3 linked regions of the Arabidopsis thaliana genome follow. The protein of the gene in region 2 interacts with the protein of the main gene of each other region in a pairwise test. Each region holds a gene or a part of one and is shown on either strand. Other genes may lie near its edges.

Evidence for each region. The genes of interacting proteins can lie anywhere in the genome.
Region 1: the proteins of AT1G01440 (region 2) and AT4G21705 interact in a two-hybrid assay, tested with the Arabidopsis thaliana proteins (one large-scale study listed by BioGRID).
Region 3: the proteins of AT1G01440 (region 2) and AT3G56680 interact in a two-hybrid assay, tested with the Arabidopsis thaliana proteins (one large-scale study listed by BioGRID).

The regions. Positions count from the first base shown.
Region 1 is NC_003075.7:11,532,454-11,536,433, forward strand, and holds AT4G21705 (Tetratricopeptide repeat (TPR)-like superfamily protein), read right to left. Parts: upstream 2,415-3,980; 5' UTR 2,365-2,414; coding exon 2,131-2,364; intron 2,049-2,130; coding exon 804-2,048; 3' UTR 518-803; downstream 1-517. Other genes in the region: AT4G21700 (DUF2921 family protein, putative (DUF2921)), read left to right, coding at 1-391; NRPB2 (DNA-directed RNA polymerase family protein), read right to left, coding at 3,231-3,338, 3,430-3,852, 3,930-3,980.
Region 2 is NC_003070.9:159,120-164,972, forward strand, and holds AT1G01440 (hypothetical protein (DUF3133)), read right to left. Parts: upstream 3,835-5,853; 5' UTR 3,368-3,834; intron 3,162-3,367; 5' UTR 3,101-3,161; coding exon 1,449-3,100; intron 1,360-1,448; coding exon 1,299-1,359; intron 1,184-1,298; coding exon 960-1,183; intron 874-959; coding exon 816-873; 3' UTR 509-815; downstream 1-508. Other genes in the region: AT1G01450 (Protein kinase superfamily protein), read right to left, coding at 4,986-5,853.
Region 3 is NC_003074.8:20,989,434-20,994,203, reverse strand, and holds AT3G56680 (Single-stranded nucleic acid binding R3H protein), read right to left. Parts: upstream 2,925-4,770; 5' UTR 2,668-2,924; coding exon 2,547-2,667; intron 2,048-2,546; coding exon 1,420-2,047; intron 1,321-1,419; coding exon 1,059-1,320; intron 809-1,058; coding exon 758-808; 3' UTR 518-757; downstream 1-517. Other genes in the region: CIP111 (Cam interacting protein 111), read left to right, coding at 19-197, 284-335; AT3G56670 (F-box/associated interaction domain protein), read left to right, coding at 4,209-4,613.

The sequences.
Region 1 (3,980 bases), on a different chromosome or scaffold from region 2:
TGGAGGTTTGATGCTTGACGCATTCCTCCTTCCTCAAATACTCTTCAACGGTTTCAGCAACTCGGACTTGAAGCCTCTTGCTGCTTTGTTTTACGTTGGAAACAGCTTTGTTCGATTGCTTCCTCATGCTTATGATCTGTATAGAAGTCACAGCTACGGGAAGATTCTTGATTGGTCATTCATTTATGCAAACCACAAAATGGATTATTACTCTACGGCATGGGATATTATTATCCTCTGCATCGGTTTCCTCTTTGCGTTTCTGATTTTCTTGCAGCAGAGATTCGGTGGTCGTTGTTTCATTCCAAAGAGATTCAGAGAATATGTGGGATATGAGAAAGTTGTAGAGCTTCAACAAGCTGGTGAGCAACACAATACCAATGACTCTTGACAATACATATATAGACACACAGTTTTGTTGTCATACAATTCATTTATCTTGTTCTTAACTGTTTTAGGTTGTGTAATATCTACAGTTTTGTGGGAAAGCAAATTGTTATAGAGTGAATATAAACTTCAATAAAAATGGAACCAAATTGCCAAAGCTCTAACTTTGCCTTCTGCTGATTCAATATGATAGTACACTGCATTTGAAAAAAGAACAGAGGATTCTCTTGTAGACTGTTCTATAGATGCTATGAAAACAGAGTCTAGAGAGTGTTCTTAACAAAATAAAATTTTGGTACATTTGGTACTAATAAGTATTGCTGAAGGAAGACTCAACCGTTAAGAAATCACATTCCTAAATCCTTGTCTCAGAAGACATCTTTGGTATCATCACGTCAAGGAAGAATAAGAAACTTTTAGCATGGACTTCTTGTGCTGAGAATCACTGTGGTTTCTTCATCGATTTCAATTTTGTCATCTTTCATACGCTGCAACAGAGTATCAATGTTACGTCCGCCTTCTCTTATATCAGCCTTGACAAGAGCATGATACATCTGTTTGTTCACACCGATACAATTCCTAAGAGATGCAACAAAGCTTTCTACTTCTTTCAAACTTCCTTCATCCCCGACCCAACTCAAAACACTTGTAACCAGCGTCAATCCAGGTCTCCATTTTCTGCTACCCACTTCTACACCTAAGGCAGTTTTCATACACTTGAAAGCATTTTCTAAAGTACCCTTTTCCGCATAAGCAGTAGCCACAAGTTCCCAAGATTCTGGTGTAGTAGCTTTCCCTCTTCTTGCTAAATCTTCAAGCATCGCTTCTGCCTTCTCCTCCATACTTTTTCCAATGTAACCACGAATCACAGTGTTAGGCACTCGAAAATCATAACAGTTCCCCGATGATTTCCATTCCGTAAGTACTTCCTCAGCCTCAACTAAAGCATCAATCTTCACAAGCGACTGCAACACAGTAAGATAGTCCTGATTTATTCTCCTTTTACACACATCTTTCTCCAAATCCCATAACCTTAAAACCTCTATCTTCTTCCCTAACCTAGCATAAAGCGTAATGAGATGATTGTAACCTTCACCATCTTTCTTCTCCAATCTATTCTCCGACATCTTCAAAAGCTCAACCGCTCTATCACAATCACCACCATCAATATAAAACTTAGCCGCAACCGCATAAGTGTTCCAATCCATAGTAATATCCTGTCGTCTCTCCATATCTCTCAAGGTCCCACCAATCCTCTCAAGATCATACATAGCACCAAAAGCATTAATACATATCCTATAACTATAGTTATCCGGAGCAACATTCTCTTCCTTCATCTCCTCCAAAACCTTAGGAACTTTCTCGTGCTGACCAATATTCGTGTAAAGACACATAATGTTATTGTAAGTAAGAGACGAAGTAACAAAACCCATCTCCTTCATCTTCTCAAAATGCAACAGAGACTTCTCAACATTCTGTTGCCTAACGTAACAATTCAAAAGAGCTCCATAAGTCTTATCATTCTTATACTGTTCCTTAAGATTCTCAAAATACTCTTCTGCAGTGACAAATCCATAAACTCTACCAATAAGATCAAGATGAACCGCGTGTTCTGTCGGAGAGAACACACATACACCAGTCTCATTCATCCATTTCGAAACCTGAATTTGAAAAATTCTAAAGTTTAGTTTTTTTTCTCGGTGTAAAGAGGGAAAGAGACTTGATTTGTATAGAATTACTTACCTCGAGAGCGTGGAGGAAGCGTTTGCGTCTACGAAGATCGTGAACGATGCGAATAAGTTCAGCAACAGAGACTTTTTTACCGCATTGAACCCAGTTTTGGAGTTCTGGGTAAACACTTGATTTTGGGTCTCCTAAAGGACTGATTTTTGAGTAAAGTGTCGTCTTTTTTACTCTGTTAGTGTAGTAATATCTGCTCGCAATCAAATTCGCCGGAATTCGTCTCAGTATATTCATCGGTTCCGGCGAAGAAGATAGTCAAAGATTGAGACTTTACAAAAATGAAAAAATACAAATAAAGGTTGAAAGTTTATGATAATTGCATATTAAGCCTCAAAACTTTTATTATTATCTAATTTACACCTGAATCTTTCTATTGAACATTTTAACTCTCAAATAAAAGCTATGTTTTGAGGAAAAAAAAAAAAAAAAACTATGTTTTATCAAGCTTTTGGTACACGCATAAACTTGATATCAAGAGTCTGTGGACTTGGAGAAGCAGAGGTTTTCTTTGATAACATTCCCAAAGATTATTGCGGTCTTTTCTAGTCTTCTTAGCTGCTAATATCGTAAGCTGAGAAGCTTGTGGAAGCCATGAAGGAAGCGTGTGTTTCCATGGACACACGTTGTTACAATCGTATGATGAATATGTATAATCAGATGAATGTGCATGGAAAATTAGATGATCTGATGCTTGAAATGGAGAAGAATGGAGTCTCTTTTGACCAATTTACTCTTAGTATTCGTCTCAGTGCATATGCTGCAGCTACTAATATTGAAGGAATAGAGAAAACCATAGAAAAGATATCATTAATGTTTGAAACAGCTATTGAATGGATTTCGCAATGTTGAGCTCATCGATAAGGCACAATGATGATGAAAGCAGAAGGAAACAAAGTGAATCCCCATACGGATGCCCCATGAGAATAATTAGGAGCAGCAAATTTACTAAAGAATCCATAAATATATCTTATAAGGTACCTTTCTAGCTTTAAGAATTAGTACAGAAATATTACACAAATTTGTAAATTTAGTATTGTTACAAAGCTATGACCAAGAGAGAAGGAAAGTTCAAGTTTCTACAAAATCAGATTGCAAGCTCCTCACTGTCTGCCTTTAGCCGATTTCAGGTGTTTAGTGAGCATCCTTGGTGCAATAGCCATTGACATAAGCTCTTGAAAGAGTAATTTGCAAGCATATGGAATGTATACCTGAGAATATTTAGATGAAATGACATCAGACAAATGAGCATGAAAGAGATAAAGATGAATATGAACCACTTGCACAACAGTTTATGTTTACCTGAACAATATCTGTTTTGTTCTTGCAACCTCTGCATTCAAAAGAATTCTTCTTCAGATTTGCAATGGCAATGAGCCCGCAGACTTCACACACATGTACCCTATACGCATCACTCTGATCAAACAGCCTCTCTTTCAAAAAGTGAGCAGCACCATGTGCAATCATGCAATCGCGCTCCATTTCTCCAAAACGGAGACCACCATCACGTGATCGCCCTTCAGCTGGTTGTCTTGTTAAGATTTGCACCGGACCTCGTCCACGCGAGTGAATCTTGTCATCAACCATATGCTTCAATCTTTGGTAATATGTTGGTCCAAGGAATATCATAGCTGTGAGTGGTCTGCCCGTGTGACCATTGTACATTCTCTCAAATCCACGCATTTGGTACCCACACTTATGAAGGGCTTTGCTTATATTATCCACCTAACGACACAACATTGGTCAAAACTAATAATACCAAGCCCAATGCTAACTAAGCAGCTAAGGAAAATGCAAGTTACCGTGACATCTGTAAAGGGAGTAGCATCTCCTTCTTTTCCCATGTGAGCTGC
Region 2 (5,853 bases):
TCTTTTTTCAACTAAAGACAGAGACCTCGCACTTAGATTTAATGGTTGAAACTTGTAACTAAAACTACTTGTGAGTATATAAATTAGTATCTAGTTTATGCTTTACACATCTAATTAGACGAAAAAATATATTTTGTCTTCTGATAACCGTGGTAATTTTCATGCTAATTTTGTTTTAAACGTTCTATCTAGAGAAAAAAAAAAAATCGTTCTATCTAGACGGTAGAATTAGTTCTCGGTGATTTAAAACATAAACTAATCTTTAGACATGAATTAGTCGTTTTAGACAGACTAGATTATCGACTCTGTTTTTTTATATGGAGTAGGGTACACCACGACCACGAGGCCCATTGTGAATAAATTATTCCATGGGCTTTAAATATTTGCTACGTGGACCCATCTTACTTGAAGTTGATTTTGGATCTACCATACCAGTGTGTTTTCTTTCTTGAAAACGATTTAACAAGTACACACAGCCTGGACAGATCTATAAATATATACATTTATCTTTTGTCACAAAATCAAACAAATATTATTTTATTTCCCAACAGGCAACAGGTTATCCACAATAAAAAATGATCAATTTACATAAACCAGATCACAAGATATAAAACCATACGGTTTATCTCTTAGACAAAAAAAAAAAAAGTAAGAGAAAGAATGGAACATTGTAAGAGAACCCCCAAAAAAGAAACTAAACCCAAAAACAGAATAGCAAATAAGTTTTGGGTCAGAATATAAGCAAAGATGTGTTATATATCAATCACAAAGAATAATTTACAAATCAGAGAGGTCAAAACAAAGCTGACGAAGCTTCACGAGACTAATGATCTTGGAACCCTCATGCCAAATCCATGCTTCACCTTGTCAACCCTGATTCAATTTTCAACCATAAAATTTCAGAATCAACTAAATGATTGATGTAAAAATTTGATTACATGGAATTGTGTTGTGCTTACGTTGGAGCTAATCTGCCAAGACTCTTAAGTTCTTCACCAGAGTCTCCATCAAGAACTCTTCCTGCTATATCAATGATGTAAGAACGGTTCTTGCCTCGAGGAAGACCTCTACTTGATAGTAACTCTAGGTCTCTCTCGTGAAGCTCTCTTCCGTTTACAAACACACTCGTGTTTCCTGCACCGCAGTTATCCGGCATTGGTCGACTAAACTCCTCTATAAATGGCTGCATCAACCAACAATTGTTTCCCATTTCCTCATCAAGTACCAATCAATACAAAGAATTATGAAACAGTGTACTGGAATTCAAAGCAATATAGAAGAGATGTGAAAGTTCTTACTGGTATTATACCGAGACAAGGGTTTCCCATCACTCCCCAGAATCCAGCACGGTAATCATACCTGGTCAGAATCATAACATAAAGATGGTTTCTTGAACGACTGATCAATTCTTTTGACGTAGATTTATCAAAACGTAACCCCAAACATACCAGTATTTGCCAGCTTGAACTGGCCCAGCTTGTTTCTCAGCGCTAATAACCAGATCTTCTGGTATCAGATACCCATTCACCCAAACCTCTAGCTGCTCGTTGTTTTGGTCGTTAGAACTGATATTATTTGTGACCTCTGCGAAACTGTGCTCACTACTCTGCTTTCGGTTTCTTGGTCGTCTCCCTTCTTTGCTGGCTTTTGAGATCCTTGAATCTTCAGACTCCTCGGTGTTAGTATAGTACTCATTATAAGAAACATCTGTCTCAGTAGCTACTGATTCTGATTTCAGGGAGTCTTGTTTCGTGTATGATTCTTGCTTATAGTACCCTAACTGCGCCATTCCGTAAGTGATTGCAGCTCGGTTTACATTAGAATACTCAAAGAGCTCAAGAAGATTGGACTTTTCCGGAGGAGGAGGAGGAGGAACCTTCGCGCCTTGGGCTCTGCTGCGAACAGACTTGACGACCTGTTTCCGCGGCTCACTAGAAATGCTTGACCTGTCTTCATCGTTTGAGTGATCACTAGGCGATACAGCATGGACAATTTTCGTTTCCTGGTGTATTCTTGGTTCTTCATCATTGAGTGGATAATCATCTACCACAGGGATTGGTGAGCTTCTATCTTCAACCTCTACAGAAACCCGGTTCGTAGTTTCCCCCAGGGCAGAAGATGAGAAAACAAGCTTCTTATCAACAACTCTGAACGTGATAACCTCAGAACAAGCACCACATTGCATCTTTTGTTGCCTTTCCTGACCAAGAAGCTTCTTCTTAGGCACATATAGCAGCTCAAAGCAACTGTGACAAGCAATAAAAGGCGCACCGCCTGCTAGAGGATGGCAACGACGTGAATCAGTATCAGACACAGCTTGTTGAACATACCCACGAGCAAAAGCACCACCCATTTCAGAATCAATTTCACTAGGCCACCTCGTGTGAACACCACCATGTGGACTAAAGGGTCCAACTTTCTCACCGTGGTGCAAAGCCGGGCTAAATGGGACATCACCATACCTACTTGGCGTACCCGGAAAGAATCTAGGGTCCTGTAACTGTGACTCAAGTATATCAGAGCCAATGTCTACATACTGTCCTTGAGGATAGGGTGGACGAGGCGGCATCTGATTAGGGTAATGACTTGGTCCTTGATAAAAGTTTTGAGGTATCCTATGCACTGGGAATCCATAAGGGTCTCTATAAGCTGGAACATGAGGTTGGTTACTCGCGGTAGGATACATTCCATAAGGAAATGGCTCAGGGTATGGATTGTAATAAGAAGGAGGAGGTCCATGATGGGCATGGAAACCCATTGGTGGCTGATCAACAACAGTAGCATTATTACCTCCACCACGGAGAAGATGATCTTTAATAGAATCAAGCTTTCTCAAAAGCTCGGCTTGTTGTTTATCAGTGTACTGAATTGGGTTGTTTCTGGTGGTTGTGTTCTTAGAAGAAGAAGAATCTGAATCAGTCTCTTCCTCCTTTCTCGAGCTCTTGACGAATCTCTGAGAACCAGGTCGTGAATTCGAATCGTCTAGGCGATTTCTCATCGGGCTAGTAGCGGATTCATTGAGATCCTCCTTAAAGCCTCTGTCTTCATCACTTCTTGAGGAACCAGTATCTGCTCCATAAACGTCACCGCTTGTCCTCATCGGAAAAAAAAAACAAAAATTCTCCGACGAAGACCAGCTTCTAGGGTTTTGCTTGTTTAAACTGCAACAGAAATAATAATCCTTGAATTCAAACAAAATCCGAAATTATCAACAAATTCTCTAATCGAATCTTCTCCAATCCGCGAATAGTAACATGGTAGAGCAAATCTTAAAATTTTCCTAGAGACTAGTTCAAGAGTTTCCATGATTGCACAGCATCCAAAACGGGAAAGACAAGACAGAGAGATATAGGAAAATCAAACGCACCTCGAAGAAGAGTGATTCCGGCGTCAGTATTATGAATATTTTTTGGGCAATTTCTTCGTCTCCGGTGAGAATCAAGCTTTTAGTCTCTTTGACGCAGCCATTTTTTAATATTAAAGGAGTTTTGTGAAAATTTCAGAGGAATTTATTTAAATAATCAAAAGACTTCGAACAATAGCTCTACTTTTCTTGCTTCGTTTTCCCGGGAATCTACCAACTAGGAACAATTAGATCGACAATGGAGTTTAAGAATTTTGACATATCTAGAAACTATGAGTCTTACCAGGTCAAGTTGACCAAGAGATAACGTGACGACCAAAAATAATGCAACAAAATAAAAATAGTAGTAACTAATGAATTGGTTGGATCGATTCGAATTTAACTGCATTTGAAAGGTGAAAGTTAAAGTACCAAATTAGGTCTTTGATATATTTGTGTCTCGCTGCTCCAAAACCAACAATACCTTGAACTACACACACTATTCATCATGGCCATGGTGGGTTTAGTTTATAACGATGAATGTGTACGTATTTTATACATGTATTGTATAATATTATCTTGTCAAAATAGATGGTGTGCCATGTTCCCAGACGTGCTCATAACTTGAATTCTTTTCATCATCATCATCTTTAAAAAGTTTAGAGATGTATTTTAGTTGTTGGAATTGTATTTTATATTAGGGTGACAATGACAAATGTTATAGCTGTAAAGTATTTTTTGTACAAATCAGCTGCTTAGTTTGTTTACTCCACTTGCTTATAATGTTATATTTGACAAATCTGTTGGTATTAAAATCATAATAACGTACTTATCACCAAAAAAAAAAAAGAAATCATAGCTTCATTCATCTAAAACTAGAGTGGGGACTTTTTGGTCATATCACAATCAATGACATAATAAAAGCGTCGGAGGATGGATGTGACGGAGTCGGCGGTGGCGGAGATATTGAAATTGACGAGAGACAGAGCCAAAGCTCCGAACCACGCCATGTCTCTAGTCCCCGGCGGAATCGCTGTTCCCCTTTTTTGTTAAGGTAATTTTCAGGCAGATTAGTCAAGGTTCCTTATTTTTGATGTTTTTATCCACATTCGAAGCCCAAAATTTGATTAGTGTAATTTGATGGTGTTTGATAGATTGTAGAAATAGTGGAGCAGGCCTAGTTTACTTCACTTCAGCGTTGAGCCTCTACAGTCTAGGCACATAATTTTGCCTCATATGATTTGTTTCCTTTAAGATAATATTGTAGCTAGTAGCTACTGAATCAATCAGTCACTAGCCTGAACAATATACGAGCCTAGTAGTATCTGTAGGAAACTTTGAATAAAGAAGAATTTTATCGTTTTCGATAGATATGTAGTGGAGTGTGTGTCACCACATACGAGTTAGTATGTCTTTTGACTTGTACAGCATTTTGAACTTGCTATTATGAACCTATTCTTTTTCCCTGCAGACTAGGAAAGCTCAGAGTCAGAGGCATGTCCAGAGTTTGATCGTCGTATCCTTGGGCTTATCAATATCAGCTGACTCTCAGAGTTTGCTCTCATGCTTTGCCCACCACAAGGGCTTAGTGGCGGATGCCTTGATCGTCCTCTCGGAGTTGTCCCTGAACAGAATCCAAAGGCTAGTGACACAAAACAAAAAAATTAGTACAAGTAACCAAGTTCATATTTGTTAGGGAGCCTATATATATATATATATATTGGCTGATGATAATCTCACCTGGTTTTTGAATTGGTTTCAGGCTAGAAGCTCTTTTCAGAAGATTTGAAACCTGCTTCTTGCTCATACCAACATCATTTGAGGAGCATGACAATCTTCTTTCCTTGGCATATGACAACTGCTCATCTGATCCTGCCCCACCCTCATCCTCGCTACACGAAGCCCATTCACTTCCTGATTCCGATGGTTCCCGGAGATTATCCTTTTCACACGTTTTTGCCCGTTCCACAACCCTATATGCAAACATTTGAAAAGGAACCTGTGAAACTTTGGTTAGCTCTGTAGATTCCCAAGAAAGCTTCTGCAATAGCTTTGTCTCGATCTCGCAGTAATCCACAGTAGGCGCAATGGACGGGTCTTGTTGGCTACTACTGTAACATTCCGGGTTCAAAGCTAGAAACCGTTTGATATACCGGAGAATTCTGCTTATCGATGAGAAAGTTGGACGCTGATTGGGATCAGCATGCCAGCATCGTTTTGTCAGGTTTGTTATGAACTTTGGTGAATTAAATGGAAAAAGCGGTCTCTCCCCGGCCCTAATGTTTCTACTCATCTTATCTCCTTGCAGGTGGCTATCTTCAAATGGTACTTTACCTGTCAGAAGCTCAAAGCTAACCATCCCAAAGCTATACACGTCAGATTTATCACTATACTTAAGGCTTCCTGCAGTTCCACTCTGTTCTTGCTCCTCTAGAACTTCTGGAGAATACCATATGAATGGAAAATTCTCATTCTGACTCGTCAAAGAAGCACTTTTACTAGAGAATCCC
Region 3 (4,770 bases), on a different chromosome or scaffold from region 2:
CATCCTTTTATCAATCAGGAGAGTCTTGAAATGGAGGAAATAAGCATGCGACATTTAAAAGCTGCGATTAGCCAAATCGAACCAACAGAGATTCTGTCTTACAAAGCACTGTCTGAAAAATTCCAAAGACTTGTCCATACAGACCCACAAAGAGAAGAGGAGGTTACACAACCAGGAAACAAAAGCCGATCTCTATGGTAATATATATCTCTATTATCCATTCTGATCTCTATGCTATTTGAAGTTGTAAGTTACACTCACTTTGATGCTGTTACTTTTCCAGGACACCATTGAGATCAGTTGCCATGTTTCTTCGCCGCCACATTGCTTCGTAAACAAATGTTGAAACCAGCAAACTTTGGAAATTCTCCATCACTAACGTACGTATTGTGTTTGTTTAAACTAGATATTGTTTTTTTGTTGCGTCTCACAGACTTGTACGAATCAACGGAACAAATAACATGAATGTAAAGATTTGGAAGGCTGATTATTTATCTTGTGTAATGCAAACCTAAAGGACAGCTTTTGCAGATTTGGAAGACATTCAATTCAAAACAGAGAATTTCGATGAAGATTTGACCCACAGGTAGTTCATTGGTTTTCCATAATAGACAGAATCTGATAATTGTAAAAGGAACAAAAGGTCTCTTCATTCTGAATTTTGACATTACAACTCCAAAATTTCCATTACAACAGTTCCTAGGTTCTACAAAAAAAAATGGTAAACAGAGATAAAGATCGACAAAGAGGCAAGCACCTAGCGGTTCTGCATGTAGTCGAAGCTCAAGGGTTGTTGAACGAACTGTGCCTGGAGAAACAAGTTACAACTGCTTTCAGACAATCATTGGAAACAATGCACCAAACCAACTCAATTGCTTTTTTCATTTGTTTTTGGAAGAGTTTTAATAGAATCCATTTCTCTTAACGAGTTCTCAGCTATGCATAAGTATATATTAAACATGTGGGTGAAAAAATTTCAATATATGGTCCTTATATTTGGACAAAAGTTTTTATTCCATGATCGCTCAAAGAGAGTAAAAAGGATCAATGTTATTTACCTGAAGAGAGCCATTCCTGAACTGCTCATACGGATGAGCATACATCATAGCTGCATTAGGCCAATGCATATACATTGCATCCATTGTGGTGCCATAGGGACTCATGATTGAGCTAGGATGTGGTCCGAAGCCAAGAGGAGCAGGAGGACTTGGAATTTGGTTATATCCAGTGAATCCCATTTCGTAGTATGGTGTCGGTATTTGCTGAATGTTGAAGGGTGGTAGATTGAAGTTCTGATTCACCGGAAGGCTCCTAATGTACCTGCATTGACACACACAATTATCATCAACCATCATGTATGAAACTTTTTCGCTAGTATAGTAATGGTTTAGCCAGTAAACTAACAGCTGAGTTACTCACCTTTGGTGTCTGCGGTCATAATCAGGGTCAAACCGATCTTTCTCTCTGTCTCTAAATATTGCAACACGAGATGTTGGACCACTTTCCCTGATGCTTAAGTTCTTCTTGACCTCAACGTAAGCATTCTTAGATACTTGCTTGTCATCTCTGCTAAGACTTGCATTCCTCTCATACACCTGAGTTTCAGATGAAGAGTCATCACAACTAAGACCAGTAAGACCACTGAATATGCGTTCTCGAGCCTTGTCATACTCTTCTTTCCTCTCTTCAACACTTCTAAGAGGACCACGATTCTTTTCCAGATCACCAGCGCCATATCCAGATCCTTTAGAAGGTCGAGTCTTGATGGAAACTTTCCTGCTCTCAAACTTACCATTTTCTGATTGTTTAGCCACCGGGATTTCAGACAACCGAACAGCAGGAAATTTGCTCTCTGTAGTTTTCGTCACAAGGATTCTGTTTTCATTTCCATCAGCACCACTCTCTTGGACAGCTGTAGCTAGCCCATAATGGTTAGCAACACGATGGGCTGCAAGACGAAGATACGAAGTAGGAAAATGCTGGAACTCAAACTGCTGCTGTTCAGGGTTCTGCAACAACCTTTGAACATCAAGTTCCATCCGCAAAACTAACACAACAAGAGAAACAAAACAAAAGGCTTAGTTACAGTAGCAAGAAACACAAAAGCCAGGACACACCACAGGCAGTTCCACACAACCACACAAAAGCTAAGCTACTACCAGATAAAGGAGATATATGTACCACAAGCAGTTCCACATAAACCACACAAAAGGTAAGCAACTATAAATGTTGAACACCATGGACAGAATAAAAGTTTACATCTTTGATAACATTAACCATGGATAATACAGTGCAGAGAAGAGAGCTAAATTCAGCATGGGCATCAACATAATCGCAAATCTAAGAAGAGAGCCAGTTCCTGAGAAACCCAAAATCCCCAAATTGCGGTTAAATTAACCTAACTATACCCAGCTAAATTCAGATAAGACCACCAATCAAAATTTCAAATTTGTTAATCCAGATGACAAAAATCAGCTCTAATTTCAGGAAATAAGGTTAAACGACACGAATCAGAGAACAAAAAAAAGAAGAGAAACGGAGCATACTCGTGAGACGATGGCGAGAGTTGTGCAACGCCTCAACGAGAAAAGGATCCACATTAAATCCATAATCTCCGATAACCGAACCACCGGTTACCACGGCAGTTTCCGGCAACACTACGTCCATGAGAAAAAGGAATGGATGTTTCAGAGAGTTCTGGATAGCTTCCTCGCCGCGTCTCTTGCTTAAAACCCTTGGGTTTCTTAATCTCTCCGCAGCAAAGAGAAGAAGACAAAATCAAGAGGAAGAGGAGAATAGAAATCGAAGCATATTGAGAGCGGCGAGAGAGAAGAGGAATGCAAAACCAAATCTTATCTTTCTCTCTCGGGAAGGCAAAGCCAACGAACGAGAGGGAAAGGAAACTTTATATTTTTTCCTTCTTTATTTTTTATTTTTCTCCTTTTCATTGAAAATAAATATCTCATATAATTTTAATTTTTTAAATATAGTTTTTCTCTTCTATTTGGACCCACGATAACATGTGTAGGTATACTATATAGAGCTTATATTCTAAACAAGCATTTTGAAAACATTTCTTTCAAAACAGAGACTCTAAACAATGTCCGTGCTGATTGTCTTGGTAAGAAGGCAAGAGCACGAGATTCTATTTTTTCCCATGTAAGTTCTTCTACTCCGAACTAGTTTTCTCTCGAAGAAAACCGACCCGTTTTTAGCTTAAATGGATGACCTTATTTTGCCGTAAAAAACAACAACAGTAAAAGCATATAATAACTCCAATTTTCATTGTTACGGACATTTTTGCCCTTAAACTATGAGCTGGAGTTGAGAATGAGGTGAAAAGAATGCGTTTATCTTCTAAAAAATGCATCCCCATCTCTGATTCAATTTTAAGTTTCTTTTGACATTCAGAGATATATGGCTTAGATAGTGGATTTGCAGCTTCGACGGTAGACGTGAAGCTTTGACGGTAGCACAAAGATTTGGTGGTGGTTCACGGCTTTGACGGCGAGGGGTAACGAACGACGTCAATGGTAAACGCTATACCCTAGAATTAGACTTGTAAACCCAAACCGTCAAATATACAGTCTACAATTCTTACATACACACAATAACACAACACTACAACCATCCTCATTATCATCAAACACCATTAACATGAACAAAAATCAATGTACTTGTAGACATGATTATGAACATCAATTGAGCAATCAACAAAGTATCAATCACTTCTTGAGTTCCTTAACCTGCACAAAAATCACTGAACAAAAAAACGTGCAAATCGTAATACCAAATCGTGGGACTTTTTTGTTTCTTGTTGTTTTTTCCAGATCTCAAAATGTGGGATGTTAAAAATCTAGATCGCATTCACATCTCATGAGGACCAATTGTTAATCGTCTGAATTTCCAATCGTCGCTGACATCACTCTGTAATCAATGACTCCAAAGTTGTTGGTGTTGGTCGCAAGTATTTTTGATTTCTAGTGTAAAACGTAAAAGTTCATCAACAAAGAAAGAGCAACATCATCTCTCTGTAAGGGTAAAAACAACTTTCCCCAGGAAAGAAGTGCCTAAATCTAAAGATCATTTTAAAAGTGCCTAAAATAAAATATATATCTAAGACAAATGCCTTATTTGCAATAAACTCTATATACTATATACTATATAGAGAGCCCTCGTTCATTAGTCTAAGGTTTGACAAAACAGAGATGATGACGAGAGGACGCAAAGAGAATAGCAACGAGACCTCACCCTCGCCGACACTACTTCTTCACGGCGGAGTTATCGATATCCCTCTGAATACTGACAGTGGAGTGACTAAAAACACTCCCGGCGAAATCGCACTATTGAGGTTCAAATCTGTCTCGAAGCTGTGGTCATCCATTATCAGCAGTCGTAGAGACTTCATAGAATCGATAGTGACTCGATTTTTGACTCAGCCTCCTCATGATGCCCATTTCATCTTCGGCTTCGATTCAGGCCCTTACGTGGAATGTTTCTTAGGCTTATCGTCTACTTATCCTCCAAATACGGACATAGAAGCAGTACTATCAATCCCTGGGAGAATGGCGCAGTATGTTTACGGTTTGATGTGTTGTTTGTCTGGTTTTAAGGTAGTTGTATATAACCCTACCACAAGACAGTCCTTTACACTTACCAGGGATGACACATTGATTTATTATCCAGGGGAAACTACTACAACATATATAACTCTACCTCTAGATATAAATTGATGAGTTTTGATATCAGGTCTGAATTTTTTTATCATGT